Linked DNA regions of Kluyveromyces lactis. The protein of the gene in region 4 interacts with the protein of the main gene of each other region in a biochemical or structural test. Links are inferred from orthologs where the notes say so. Each region holds a gene or a part of one and is shown on either strand. Other genes may lie near its edges.

Region 1 (4,035 bases), on a different chromosome or scaffold from region 4:
GTAACTCCAACACTCTACGTGTCTTGACCGTTTAAGATACTGGGTAAAATTGGACTAAAATCTTGTCGATCACCATTAGACTTGATTATGCAACTTATGAAGCCATAGACAAACATTTTCTAATTAATATATATATTTTAGGTAAAGAAAAAGACAATTAGATTGTACTCTACTATTATACTTACGTTGTGTCGAAAGATGAATAATTAATAAACAAATGAGTGCATGGAAAGAGTAATTACTAATTAAAAAAATTGGGCGCAATGATCATGCATGCTTTCATCCCAACAAGTATTAGATGGATATTCAATTATAAATCAAACACTAAGTTGAACTTCACATCAGGTTTTGCTTTATTTAATATAGGAATTAGTCGACGAATCAAGAAGTATTCCCATTGCTCTAAACCTTCATGATTCGCGTTGTAGTGATCATCAACCCTATTTTTTATGGTTTTAATCAAATGTAGTATAATATGACATCTGCCTTGCTCCGCTAACTTATCAAGATAGCTAGTGAATAACTCAAGATCTTTTTCATGGGGGCCATCCTCCACTGTGGCGTCCACCCAGTCGATAAGAGTTTCAGAAATCTGTTTCGCAGAACTTAATCCCTGGAACGAAAGCTGCGGAACAAGCCTCCCATCGTGTATGAAGTGTAAATCTTGCGTCTGCTTAATTTGCTTTCTGGGATCATCGTACAATTTTGTTCTCAAAGAACGATTGGCTTTTTTAACAACCTTATGATGAGATGTAATCTCTTCTTGAACATCTTTGGGTAAATTGGACATAAATTCAGGATCGAGTTGGTCAGGAAAGTCATATTGAAATGGGGTGATACTTCGCTTTAGATGGCGATCCCAATAGTTTTTTACGGGAGAAGTATATGTTGGGTTAACTGGAGTATGTGGCTCGGCTACTTTGGAGGGTTCGTTAGTGATGTCATCATCCGGATGGTCTCGTTTTCTAAATAAATCAGTCGTAATTTCCCTTTGTTCCGACTTTTGCCCCACTTTTTGGTTCGAATCAGTTAACCTGTGAAATTGAATACCAATTCCTCTAACTTCCTCTGGAGGAACACTTAAGATTCTAAATAAAGTTTTACATTCCGAAGCAATTGTACCAAATTTTTGTGTATTAGTTCCTAAGTTACTGACTTTACTAAGAGCGTCACATTTACCCATACCCATGAATTTTGGTGGATCTACAGGTGCGCCTTGAGCTCTCTTCATTAATTTCAAAGTTATTTGTCTTGTCATTAAATTTGAATCCCTAAGTTTTTCCCATAAATGGAGTGCGAGCCGTTCAAGGAAAATATCAACATCGTCTATGGTCTTAAACCTTATGGCATAATTTATTTCTACTGAGAGGGATTTCTTTTGAAAGTACGTATGAGGATCCTTTACCATACTTATGGATTCGTCGTCATCTTTACCATCAAGGTAAATCTGAAGTTTCTTGGTATTTTTGGAACCAATCACTTTTATTAGTTTAGAAACGTTGCTTGGCCTTTCTAAAAGATCTCTTAAGTCAGAGATGTTTTGAACATTTCCAAATTGTTCTTTTATTTTCAGATCTGTGCTATAACCAATACCAGGAAGATCTTTTAACTTAAAGTGATCTATGAATGCATGGCATTCAGTAACAGTATCAAACCAAGAAATATGGAACCCGTTTGGTTTCCCTTTCCTTAGGGCTAAACGAGCTAGCAATACGGATGGCCCGCACCCAACACTGACAGAGTATCCTTGAGTAACATTATAGACGGCATTTCTCACTTGCATGCATTTTTGAGTTAACAATTCAGAGGTAATATCGGGGGTAATCAACATGCAACCTATTGCTTCATCTATAGAAATTGGCAATACCATTTTGAAGATTCCAATATCTTTTAGAGCGCTGTAGAATAAATTTGAAATTGCTTCATATTCATCAAATTCATAATCTAATATTTTCAAGTCCGGGCATAGTTTCAAAGCAGATGATACCCACATACCGTTATAAACACCAAAAGAACGAGCCACATAATTGCAGCTGGATATATCAGAATTGTTGATACCATGAGAAATAGCGATAGGTGTGGCATGTATATCGTATTTACCATCGATTTTAGCAGACACTTGGGCAAAGAAGCAATCAAAGTCAATGTGGAAATACACATATTTTTGATCAGGAATTGTGTCGTTATATGACAAAATGAATTCTTTCACGAAGTTATCTCTTAACTGGAATTTCCAGTTCGATAAATGGTGTAGTCTTGAGGATTTGAAAAAAGCATTAATGAAGTTCGGATCCATACAGTTCCGTACTGTTGCGAAATCTGTAATCTTTCCCTGTAATCTGGAAACTTGGACAATTCTAAAGTCTTGCCATGGTAAAAGCTTCCCTCGAGCAATAGACTCAGTAACCCATTCGGGGCTGACAACCTTGAAATTGGCAAAAGATGATTTCTTGGATGCATTTAACTCTGTTGCAAGTATATGGGTGACTGCAGTCTTCCCACTAAGGTAATGCTTGAAAGTCCCACCATGTAAAATAATTAGTTTATGGAGTTGAAATCGAGTTGGATTCGTACGTCCATTCACATAGATAGTACACCCTTGAAAAAGTGTAGGATTTGAAACTCGATGTTCTTTTTGATATTTCTGTCTGAATTGAACATCACTTTCCAACTGTTGAAGTTCCTTATTATGAAAATATTCTCCATACCCTGAATATCCAACACTCGAGGAGGATGCTATATCTGGTTCATTTCTGTTGAAACTTGCAGTTACGTCTTGCTCCTCCTCTTTATTGTTCATGGCATTCGGAGTTATGAGTAAAACCAGTCCAGAACTCTGAAGTCTCCGTCAATGACCAGATAAGGACAAAAGGAAAATAAATGCTCAAGCTGATTATTGATAACACAAGGGCTGGAATCTGATAGATACACTATTGTTATAGCAAGGTACTTTCTAGAAGTACATTTGTGTCCGTATATTGATGTGTAGAACTCCTCCGCTGTTCAGAGTCCGCGTAGTCTCGATTTTTCCCTAACTTTGTTTATAAGTTATTGAAATCAGACAATGACCGATATACACACACGCACAGACACGACGGGAAACCAATGTTACCAAGCAAATCACAGTAATATTCAACCTCTTCCCATATTTTCTACTACTCTTTTTGTAAAGCTTCAAAAAATGGTTCCAGGGGGAAAAATGTTTGACTGCTTCCTTTTTTTTTCTAAGTGGATTTTTTTTCAAGATTTTCACCATACAAAGACAAAAACGTTGACCAGTTGGACGTAATCGTTCTAAAAGAACCGGTAGATCAATAAAAAAAAGATAAACAGTCCGGTTATTGTTGTTGATATCCAACCCCTCGCTAAGCTATGAAAATTGAAAGGTGTCTATTGGGAGACGTATGGTGCCACATATACCAGGGGCACAGGTTTGCCGTAGAAGCGATAGAAAGCATGCAATAAACGACGGTTGTTTATCCGAATCTGAACCCAAAAACCAAAGACAAACACGCAGCAGAAAAACAAAATGTTTTTCCGCAAAGCACTTTGTACGTCTTCTATTTTCTTTTTTTTGTCTTAGTTTTTCCGAGATGAGCAGCTGGAAATACTCAGTAGAAAGCTCAGTAGGAAAAACCACACCACTTCCCACGCATCTTGACGCAAAATTCCCATTCTGAGCATAATATTTTCCCATTCATTGAGCTTCCTATGTAAGGTTTATCCGACGTTTTATCTACTGCGGCGATTGCATGTTTGGCCCTTTTCACACCCTTCCACTGAAAAGCATGTTGAACAGGATTAAAACGCACGCCAGAGCACTAAGTGGTGCCATTCCCCTACGGATGAACCCAAAAACACACTGTCCATGAGCGGAAGCTGGCAGGAGTTAAGATGAAACGTTCCTTATCCTCTTCCCGTCCACGAAAGATATAGGCAGCGTTTCCAGAATGGGTGCACCCTAACATACGTATTTCCTAACGACCAGTTTGAAAATGGGCTGGAATGTGAACTATAATACGTTTTTCCCCTTTC
Region 2 (2,698 bases), on a different chromosome or scaffold from region 4:
AGTATTACCTACGCCGTTACTTACAGTACCGTCTTCCGATACAGTACTGATTTTGGTCTTACCACTACTGCTATTATTAATATTCGAAGCAGCATTTACGATAGAACCTTTAGCCTTTTTATTCTTCTTGTCCTGCTTCTTGTCACCAGCTCCTTTCCTAACATCATTCCGCCTGTTAGCATCGTTTGCACCGGGACGATTCACTCTGGGACCCCCATCGTGAGTCGACTCCCGAGAATCCTTTGAGGCACATAAACCCATATCGTCAGCTAACCTTTTTCTTTTCCCAGCACGCTATGCAAATATGGTCGCTCAGCTTTCCTAAATTGGTTGGAAACTTAGTGATTTCTTAGACGTTCTATTTCAGAATATACCAACACCTGTTCTTAGAATTTTCCCTGTCCTTTTCCTTTCGTAAAGTTCTTTCAAATCAAACGTTATATGATTTTTCAATAATGTTAACCTGCTCAAAGAAACGAAAAAAATGGTGAAAACTGGTTTCTACGCTGGTTTGTGAAGGATACGCTGTGGTTAAAATGATGTGATATGCAATCGGTAGACCACTTTGTTGTCGGCTGTCAGACAGAAGTTGGTCGGTATTATATAGGGAGTATTTGAAATATAAGAAAGGGGAACTAGGAATTACTAAGATCCTTATTATTACGAGTTGTTTCAGCTGGAACTGTGCTCCCTTAAATACCATGCTCGTTATGTGGGTAGTTTGAACATGCAAAAAATTGCAAAATATTAATACCTCAGCTATCCATTCCAACTGATGGATTTTCCAAGTGGTTTTCCCTTCTCGTAGAAACTGAATATACACTCTTTACAATTGGGACTGACAAGCCTTTCGAAGAGATGTCAGTTTCTACATGGTGATTAGAAACTCGAGTGGAAAAACTTCTGGAGACACCCAGCATGATCACTGGAGAACAACATTTATGTAAAGAATAAACCTGTAGCCTCGGCTGAATGTACTGTATAGGAGAGAAGACCATTGGAATAGCTCCGTTTGTGTTACTATTAAGAGTAGCTGTAATTGACACATTGAGACAGGAACACTCGTTACCCGAATATTATAAATACATTTGTCACGTGATTTTGCTGGCATCTTCCACAGTATTCTCTCATAGACTTGTGTAAAATGAAGATGAGTAAGGCAGAGATCATCACTGGCTATGATATGGATGGCGGGACGTATTTGTCATATCGCTTATATATATAAAGAGCACCTGGCAAGGCCGATAATATACACAGGTTGTTTGCCACTTGGGATGAGTTTCTCACTTTGATATCGATTTGTGTTATTTGTGTTTTATAGAACTCCAGGTCCGGGACCAAGACTGATCAAGGGCTAAAAGAAGAAATAATACAGTTGATAAACAATGACTAAAGAAGTTGGTATGCTAGATGTCGGCACACACTGTTCGTTTTGTCGACAGACTGATTTCCTACCGTTCCATTGTTCTGCTTGCAACGGTGATTTTTGTGCCAACCATAGATTGAAGGAAGATCATCACTGTGAATCACTGAAGATAGGTAAGAATAGCCGCAGCAGTGTCACAGTTAGTATTCCTGCTGCTGCTGCTGCTGCTGTCACTCCGAAGAAGGACAATGGTGGTAGCTTCTTTCAATCTTTGTTACCTGCCAGAGCACCAGATCGGATAAAGACCATGATGCAAGAGGATAACTCGAAACCACCGGTAGATAACCTAAAATCGAAGCTTTTCAACAGTAAAACCTCCAGTTCTCGTGTAGCTATCGATAAACTACGGCATTTTTTCGCCAAGAACGGTAAATTATTCGAGAGTAAGAAATCTACTACCAAATTTTCTTCTGCCAATAAGCTAATACAAGTCACTAAGATGAAGCGCACTGCAAAGGGAGATGATTCTATCCCTGTCGCAAATAGAATATACGCATGGTGTTACGTGGTGGCGGACTCTTCGGATAAGAAACCCATCGCGAATGAAGTGTTCATAAATAAGATGTGGCCAATTGGAAGAGCTTTGGATTCCTTGGCATCTGTGCTAAACGTGAAAAATTCAAACATCGACCATTCGATATCAACAGATGAGAAGTTATTTTTGTACAAAGGTGATGCTTCTACTCAGCATCTATTACCCTCGAGTGCGCGAGTCAATGCCACCATCCAGGAAGGTGATACTTTATATTTGGTAAGAGGGTTAGGTCGATGATTGCAACGCCGCGTAATGGAATCTGAAGGATAAAATAGCACATTCTTTTGGTCTTTACTTATAGCATAGTTCATGTAGTTTCGTAATTACGTCTTACAGTCAAACACAATGACACTTGTCACGTGACAGATTAAGTTGTCGAAACATTACTGCATCAAGCTACAGACATGGTACCAGCCGAGTGCGTTTCGCCCAAGCTACAAATCCGGGTAATAGCAACTGCGGCAAATATGGACGGTTCTTACATTTGGAAATACCCTGCGGCCGCAGTGATTTCTCACAAAGAACGTAAGTATTAATCTGCCAAAGAGTGGCCCGGTCAAGGTGACTAAACCAAGATAATTTGGTGGCTGGGGATTTTAAGGTAGGCTCTCAATCGACTTTGTACGCTCGAGCATTGTTTCTAGTTGCTTCTGTGCATTATACTGACATCTCAAGAAGACAATTAATACTCGCCGTAATTACACTAGGACTCGTTATGTGACAAATACAATTTCCGA
Region 3 (3,346 bases), on a different chromosome or scaffold from region 4:
GCCAAACTTGTAAATTGTACCCCAATGTGTATATGGAGAAGGTCAGGGGAGATATGCTTTGCTTCTAATGAATTTATATCCCTTACCGGGTTCAACAAAAAGGAGATTTTAAACAAACGAAAGTTTATCATGGAATTCATGGACAATGAAAGCATAGTAGATTACTATGATATATTCCATGAGTATTTGGCATTTGGTTCAACTCAAAGTGGGCCCTTCAATTCATCGACCGGAACTTCTGATGGTCAGGCTATTTTTAGCGAATGTAACCTTTTGTTAAAGAATGGATGCTATCTACGGTGTGCATGTATTTGGACAGTTAAAAGAGATGCATTTAATATTCCAATGTTAATAATGGGCCAGTTCTTACCAATTTTCGATATTGAATGATAGTCGAATTGTTCCAACCGTAACGCTTGCTCGATATGTAACTATATATAAATTTTCCAACACATTTATTTATTGATTATGGAAACATCGGCGGTCCGGGCAGACAAATTTCACAAAATTGCCAAAATGCTATCTTGAAGTGATGGTCTATCATCAATACCTACTTGGACACGATGAACTTCATTTGATACCTTTTTAGGAGCAGATTCTTTTTCTTCCTCAGCGTTTGCTATGTATACAGGTTTCTTAAACTCCGACTGCGCCTTGTTATAATCCCAAACATTGTTTGTTAACTTGGAACTCTCCTTCTGTTTTTGTTGATTTATCTCTAACTTCAAATTCTTGATATCTTCCAAGTCTTGGAGATCTTCTTCATCGCTAATATCATCTATTTCATCATCACTAGTTGCATTCGTTTTTTTGCTGCTCTTTCTAACTGCTTCTGTCATAACAACTTTACCATCCTTACCGATCGTCAAGTCCAAGACGACCTTTTCACGCCTTCCATTGCGTTCATTCTCAATCTTTTCCCATTTTCGTAAATTTCTTTGCTGTTTCTTTAGTTGTAATGCTCTTTCGTAAGCAGAACCCCACATGACATCTTCATTCATAGCGAAATCACTAGCATTGTCAATGATCTTGGTTCTTTCAGCACTGGTATCCTGGAAATGAAGTAGCTTGTCGAGTCGATTTCGTGCTTCAATAAGTTGTTCATCCTCCTCTTCTTCCTTTGACTCCCCATTCAATATTTGTTGTCGTTTAATCTCTCTCTCTTGTTCCCGATCTTTCTCCACTCTTTGTAGCATTTTCTCTTGTTCTTGCCATAAATTTGTGCCTGCACCAGATTTAATCTTATATTTCTTGGTTTGCTTCGGCTTGGGCTTGTTCTCTTCAACTTTCTGAAGCTCTATTTGTTCTCTCTCTAACCGTAGCAATTCTAAGATTTGTTCGCGTTCCTTAGCTGGGATTAATTCAGCTCCGCAAAAGCTGCAATTGTTCATATGCAAACCTTCTTTGACACATATTATTTTGCCACATGACAGACAGTTTGGTGCAGGATCGAATATTGGGTGCCTTGTTCCCTGGCAATTGCATTTATATTGACCGGAATCCCCAGAGACTGACCTCATCTCCAACATCTTTAACACATCATCGATATCCTTCAATGAATCTAATCTGACTTCTTTACTCTCTTTCCCCGAATCCTTTTTCACAGCCTTGGCAGTCGGTACCTTTTTTAATTCTCTATTCAATATCGGTTTCGTTGCTTGAATAGACTTGTTGGCGAACTCGGCCCTGGAATCATTGGTTTTCACAGTATTAATCAATGGAGATATCACTTTTTTAGTATTGGTTGTTTCGTTCACTATTGGTTTCTTGACAGCCGTTTTACGGGGCAATTCCATGAGCCTCTCATTGAACTCAAATATGAAATGTACCGATGAGTCGTCTTGCCCTAAAAGATCAAAAAAGGATTGGGCTATCTGTTCAGGGTTGTTGCCTTCTTTTATCGTCTGTTCACATAGATCTTTGATCTGTTCTGTATCTAGTGGCAAAATGTTGGGCAATTCCTTTATAGCATACTCAATAGCATCCTCTTTCGTCATTGTGACTGTTTTGGCAATATTATTCCAGTGCTATGTATATCCTTTTACTGTGTTGTTTGGATACGAGTAGTTACTTTCTCAGTTGCTAAGGCTCATCTCTCAATATTAGACTTTTTCACTTTAAAAGATGAGAGTTCTCAAGTTATGAAAGAAAAGGTGGAACCGATCAGCCAACAAGAGGTCTATTGTAACAATTGGGTGGCTGTCCAGGTGATCTCATGAAGAATCATAGACTCGAGAACTTGGATCGAAAGTAGCAGCTTCGGAAGCTTTACTGTCAAATGGTTGTTAACGTCACATTATCTTGGACTGACAGACATTAATACCCGAACCTTTCTATAACTATATATAAATCTAAACGGTATAGTTACTGCTGGTGCCACAGCCCAGAAGCTGGGTACTACTCTAAGTAACCGAAGTTCCTGGATATTGACACTTATTAAGCAGTGCAGTGAGTAGGACGAGCTGCATGGGCAAGATGAGCAGTATATTGCTTATAAGTTCGACTCAAAAGATCCCACTTGGATGAACAGATTTACATTTCATATAAACTGATTCTCGACTAGGCAATATACACCATGAAGGGCCCCAAATATCTGCAACATGCTTGTCTGGTCAACGATATCTTACCTGGTAAAACCCTAAATCAATTATAATAGTAGAGACGTATGTCCGGGTAATCTTTCCGATCAATAGTATAAAAGTGGCAAATTTTTCAACACTTTGAACCTCTTTCAAACACTCTTACAGTTCAAAGATTGGAAAATCTTTTTGATGTTTGTTCTTAATAAACCAATCATCAGTAGTGGTTAGTACTATCTCAAGATAATATTAATACACATATACACCATAGAAACCTACGGTTTCGGTTATCTCTTTTCTCAAGAAGTTTTTCCTAGGTTTCTTCGGAGATCTAGGAACGGCTTTAGTTAATACTGGAGAAGAGTGACTGTTACCATTTTTTAACCCATAGCTGAATGGATCCTGACTAGCCCCAAACAAGCTGGCCACAGTTTCCATTTCGTTTCCGGTTTCTTAGATCAATAAAGTTGGAAGCGCATTGAGTTGGGAGGGGAAGTCTCTTCCTTTTCCCGGTTTTTTGCATCACTTCTTTCTTTTAACCATTATGAAGAGGTCTGGAAAGTGATGATTAGAAGCGGTTTAACAGCTCGCTCTAGTTGTTCTTCCAGGTGTTGCATGTGATCCAGAGGGCTTTGCGTAATGGCTGCCTGAGAGTTTGGATTTTCACTCTCCGTTGTGCCCTTCTTCATGATGGAACAGTTTTCCCATCTTCTAGAGAATTTTTGTATTAATTAGTTGTAGACATAAATCAGCTTCATCAACCACTG
Region 4 (3,120 bases):
TCCTCAAATGATGTATCTCACATTTTCATTGATATCTGGAAATATGGCCACGCTCTATGCAACAAGAAAGAAGTTATTGAAAGTGTCAAGATAAAGCTGATAAGGTATGGTGGGCTATTGAAAGAAAAGTTCCCCCACACCAATACCATGGTCGACTTTGGCATTTTGGAGATTCTTAGAGTGGATGACTCCTCAGTATTGAAAGCTGAAGCTTTAAATATTGGAATATCTCAGTAGAAATTGCCAACGGATGATATATTACTATCTTCTACTATTTATAACATTATCATAGTTGTTATGTATCTCTGAAAATGTATATAATATATACAAGACCCTAAACTTTTTATCCAAAGAATGTAAGGAAAAAAAAAAAATGCAAAAAAAAAAAAAATTGAATTGAGTATAAATGATACAACGGCTTTGCGTGGTCTCAAGCTCGTTAATAAACTCCCTATCGAGTTTCACTCCAGTAATCGGAAATATGAAATAAATCTTTACCATTAGATGCCACCTCTTAATCTCAAGACAAGATGTAAAGTGGATTCCTTTTGGATGTTATAGTCAGACAAGGTTCTGCCATCTTCCAACTGCTTACCTGCAAAAATTAATCTTTGTTGGTCTGGAGGAATACCTTCTTTGTCTTGAATCTTAGACTTGACGTTATCGATGGTGTCGGAAGATTCGACTTCCAAAGTGATGGTCTTACCAGTCAAGGTTTTGACGAAAATTTGCATACCACCTCTTAATCTCAAGACAAGATGTAAAGTGGATTCCTTTTGGATGTTATAGTCAGACAAGGTTCTGCCATCTTCCAACTGCTTACCTGCAAAAATTAATCTTTGTTGGTCTGGAGGGATACCTTCTTTGTCTTGAATCTTAGACTTGACGTTATCGATGGTGTCGGAAGATTCGACTTCCAAAGTGATGGTCTTACCGGTTAAGGTTTTGACGAAAATTTGCATACCACCTCTTAATCTCAAAACAAGATGCAAAGTGGATTCTTTTTGGATGTTGTAATCGGACAAGGTTCTGCCATCTTCCAACTGCTTACCTGCAAAAATTAATCTTTGTTGGTCTGGAGGGATACCTTCTTTGTCTTGAATCTTAGACTTGACGTTATCGATGGTGTCGGAAGATTCGACTTCCAAAGTGATGGTCTTACCGGTTAAGGTTTTGACGAAAATTTGCATACCACCTCTTAATCTCAAAACAAGATGCAAAGTGGATTCTTTTTGGATGTTGTAATCGGACAAGGTTCTGCCATCTTCCAACTGCTTACCTGCAAAAATTAATCTTTGTTGGTCTGGAGGGATACCTTCTTTGTCTTGAATCTTAGACTTGACGTTATCGATGGTGTCGGAAGATTCGACTTCCAAAGTGATGGTCTTACCAGTCAAGGTTTTGACGAAAATTTGCATACCACCTCTTAATCTCAAGACAAGATGTAAAGTGGATTCCTTTTGGATGTTATAGTCAGACAAGGTTCTGCCATCTTCCAACTGCTTACCTGCAAAAATTAATCTTTGTTGGTCTGGAGGGATACCTTCTTTGTCTTGAATCTTCGATTTCACGTTATCGATGGTGTCAGAAGATTCAACTTCCAAAGTGATAGTCTTACCAGTTAAAGTCTTAACGAAAATTTGCATGTTTTCTCTTGATCTAGTTTTAAGGGGAATGAGAGGGGGGGGGGTAAATAATTTGGGGTGAAATAGTATAACCTTGAGTCAGTATCTTCTATGAGAGAAACTCTTGATGCTCCTTCTTAACCAATATGATGTTGTTAATAATATCAGGAAACAAACTGCCAAAATAACCCTTTTGTTTTTATATATACTCCCTTTTTTTTTTAAAAAAAAAGGAACTTGTTCGCTTATTTCTTTTATTTTATCTCCCTATCAGTTCTTACTAATAACGGAGAATATAGCACAAAAAATGAAAATAAGAACAATAATGATAGCTGCTATGCTGTCCAAACTTTCAGAATAGATATATGAATGCGATATAGGTAGTAATAGTATCTAACCCGAATAATATCTTAGAAAAAGATAAACGTATTTAGAGAATAAACGGGGGAAAGAACAATCAGAAGTGGCAAATACGAGAGAAAAAAAGGCGGCCGCCCAAGTGATCACTATTTATATAAAAGCATCCAGTGTAATCAGTTTCGCTCGGCCTAAGGTGGCCGTTTGAAAAGAAAAATTTCCCGAGAGGGAATTCGATGGAAAACCGGCAGTTTGGAATCTGTTACGTTGCAGCCATCTCTGTATTTCAGCCTTGTATCTTTAACTGTTTGCAATGAATCTTTTCTCCGGCTTACAGATCGCCATGACTTGAGGTTTATGATTGCATGACGAAGAGCGGGGATATATGGAATGAACTGCTAACTTTGATTGTTCAGAGTAAAGAGCATACCGCTTTGTATCCACTGATACCTTCTGCAGTACAGTGTGTATATGCAGAGGTAACCATGGAAACTCATGGAACAATGAAGTTTATCCTTTTTTTTTAGACTTGCGGGGAGAATCTAAGATACAGACAGACGAAAAAAGTGACTCGAAGTCATCCACGTGATTAAATCAGGGTAACATACATCATATTTTATCTGCCTGGCTTCTCCTAAATTCATTCTTGACCTTTCAGATGCTCCCGGAACATACCCAGGCCAAATATCTCTGTCATTGAGGTTCCTGGCGGGATAATTCGGACTGCCCAGAATCTCTTCGATATTACTTGTCTTATAGTCCTAGATGACACTTTTTTTTCGACTCTTTTTATGATAGCGGTGTTCTTAACGCCTTTGTCGTATACTCAGGTGACACTTTCCATCATATTGAGCTGTATGGTCTTTCTCCATTCAGCATCCGAGGAAAGGGACTTCATTAAGTAAGGAGTCCAAGAAGTTCTCTGATAGGCATGTAGGCTGCCGTAGGCGATTGAGCGGCATTTAATTTAGTCGAATTTAGAAGAAAATGCAACAATTTCTGTACTTTTTTCTCGTATCGATAGTGAAAAGGGGAGACAGCACAAACAAAAACAGGAATTTTTTTTTAGGCAAAAGTAAATAGTACAACTACTAATGGGGTTACATTTGCATTATATCAGTTAGCTTTAAGTATTGAT

The links.
Region 1: the proteins of UBI4 (region 4) and REV1 are reported together in a solved structure, tested with the Saccharomyces cerevisiae proteins (2 studies listed by BioGRID, with this or other methods). The link is inferred for Kluyveromyces lactis from reciprocal best matches to the Saccharomyces cerevisiae genes UBI4 and REV1.
Region 2: the proteins of UBI4 (region 4) and CUZ1 form a complex in vitro, tested with the Saccharomyces cerevisiae proteins (2 studies listed by BioGRID). The link is inferred for Kluyveromyces lactis from reciprocal best matches to the Saccharomyces cerevisiae genes UBI4 and CUZ1.
Region 3: the proteins of UBI4 (region 4) and RQT4 form a complex in vitro, tested with the Saccharomyces cerevisiae proteins (2 studies listed by BioGRID). The link is inferred for Kluyveromyces lactis from reciprocal best matches to the Saccharomyces cerevisiae genes UBI4 and RQT4.

What each region holds. Positions count from the first base shown.
Region 1 is NC_006042.1:2,180,751-2,184,785, reverse strand, and holds REV1 (deoxycytidyl transferase), read right to left. Parts: upstream 2,801-4,035; coding exon 311-2,800; downstream 1-310. Other genes in the region: pyruvate kinase PYK2, read left to right, coding at 1-35. UniProt on the Saccharomyces cerevisiae protein: Deoxycytidyl transferase involved in DNA repair. Transfers a dCMP residue from dCTP to the 3'-end of a DNA primer in a template-dependent reaction.
Region 2 is NC_006040.1:935,478-938,175, forward strand, and holds CUZ1 (Cuz1p), read left to right. Parts: upstream 1-1,385; coding exon 1,386-2,198; downstream 2,199-2,698. Other genes in the region: GPA2 (guanine nucleotide-binding protein subunit alpha), read right to left, coding at 1-261. UniProt on the Saccharomyces cerevisiae protein: Promotes efficient arsenite-induced clearance of stress granules (SGs). May have a role in the ubiquitin-proteasome system (UPS) protecting cells from metalloid-induced proteotoxicity.
Region 3 is NC_006042.1:1,284,802-1,288,147, reverse strand, and holds RQT4 (Rqt4p), read right to left. Parts: upstream 1,998-3,346; coding exon 501-1,997; downstream 1-500. Other genes in the region: GSM1 (Gsm1p), read left to right, coding at 1-390.
Region 4 is NC_006041.1:74,448-77,567, forward strand, and holds UBI4 (ubiquitin), read right to left. Parts: upstream 1,647-3,120; coding exon 501-1,646; downstream 1-500. Other genes in the region: ECM29 (Ecm29p), read left to right, coding at 1-237. UniProt on the Saccharomyces cerevisiae protein: Ubiquitin exists either covalently attached to another protein, or free (unanchored).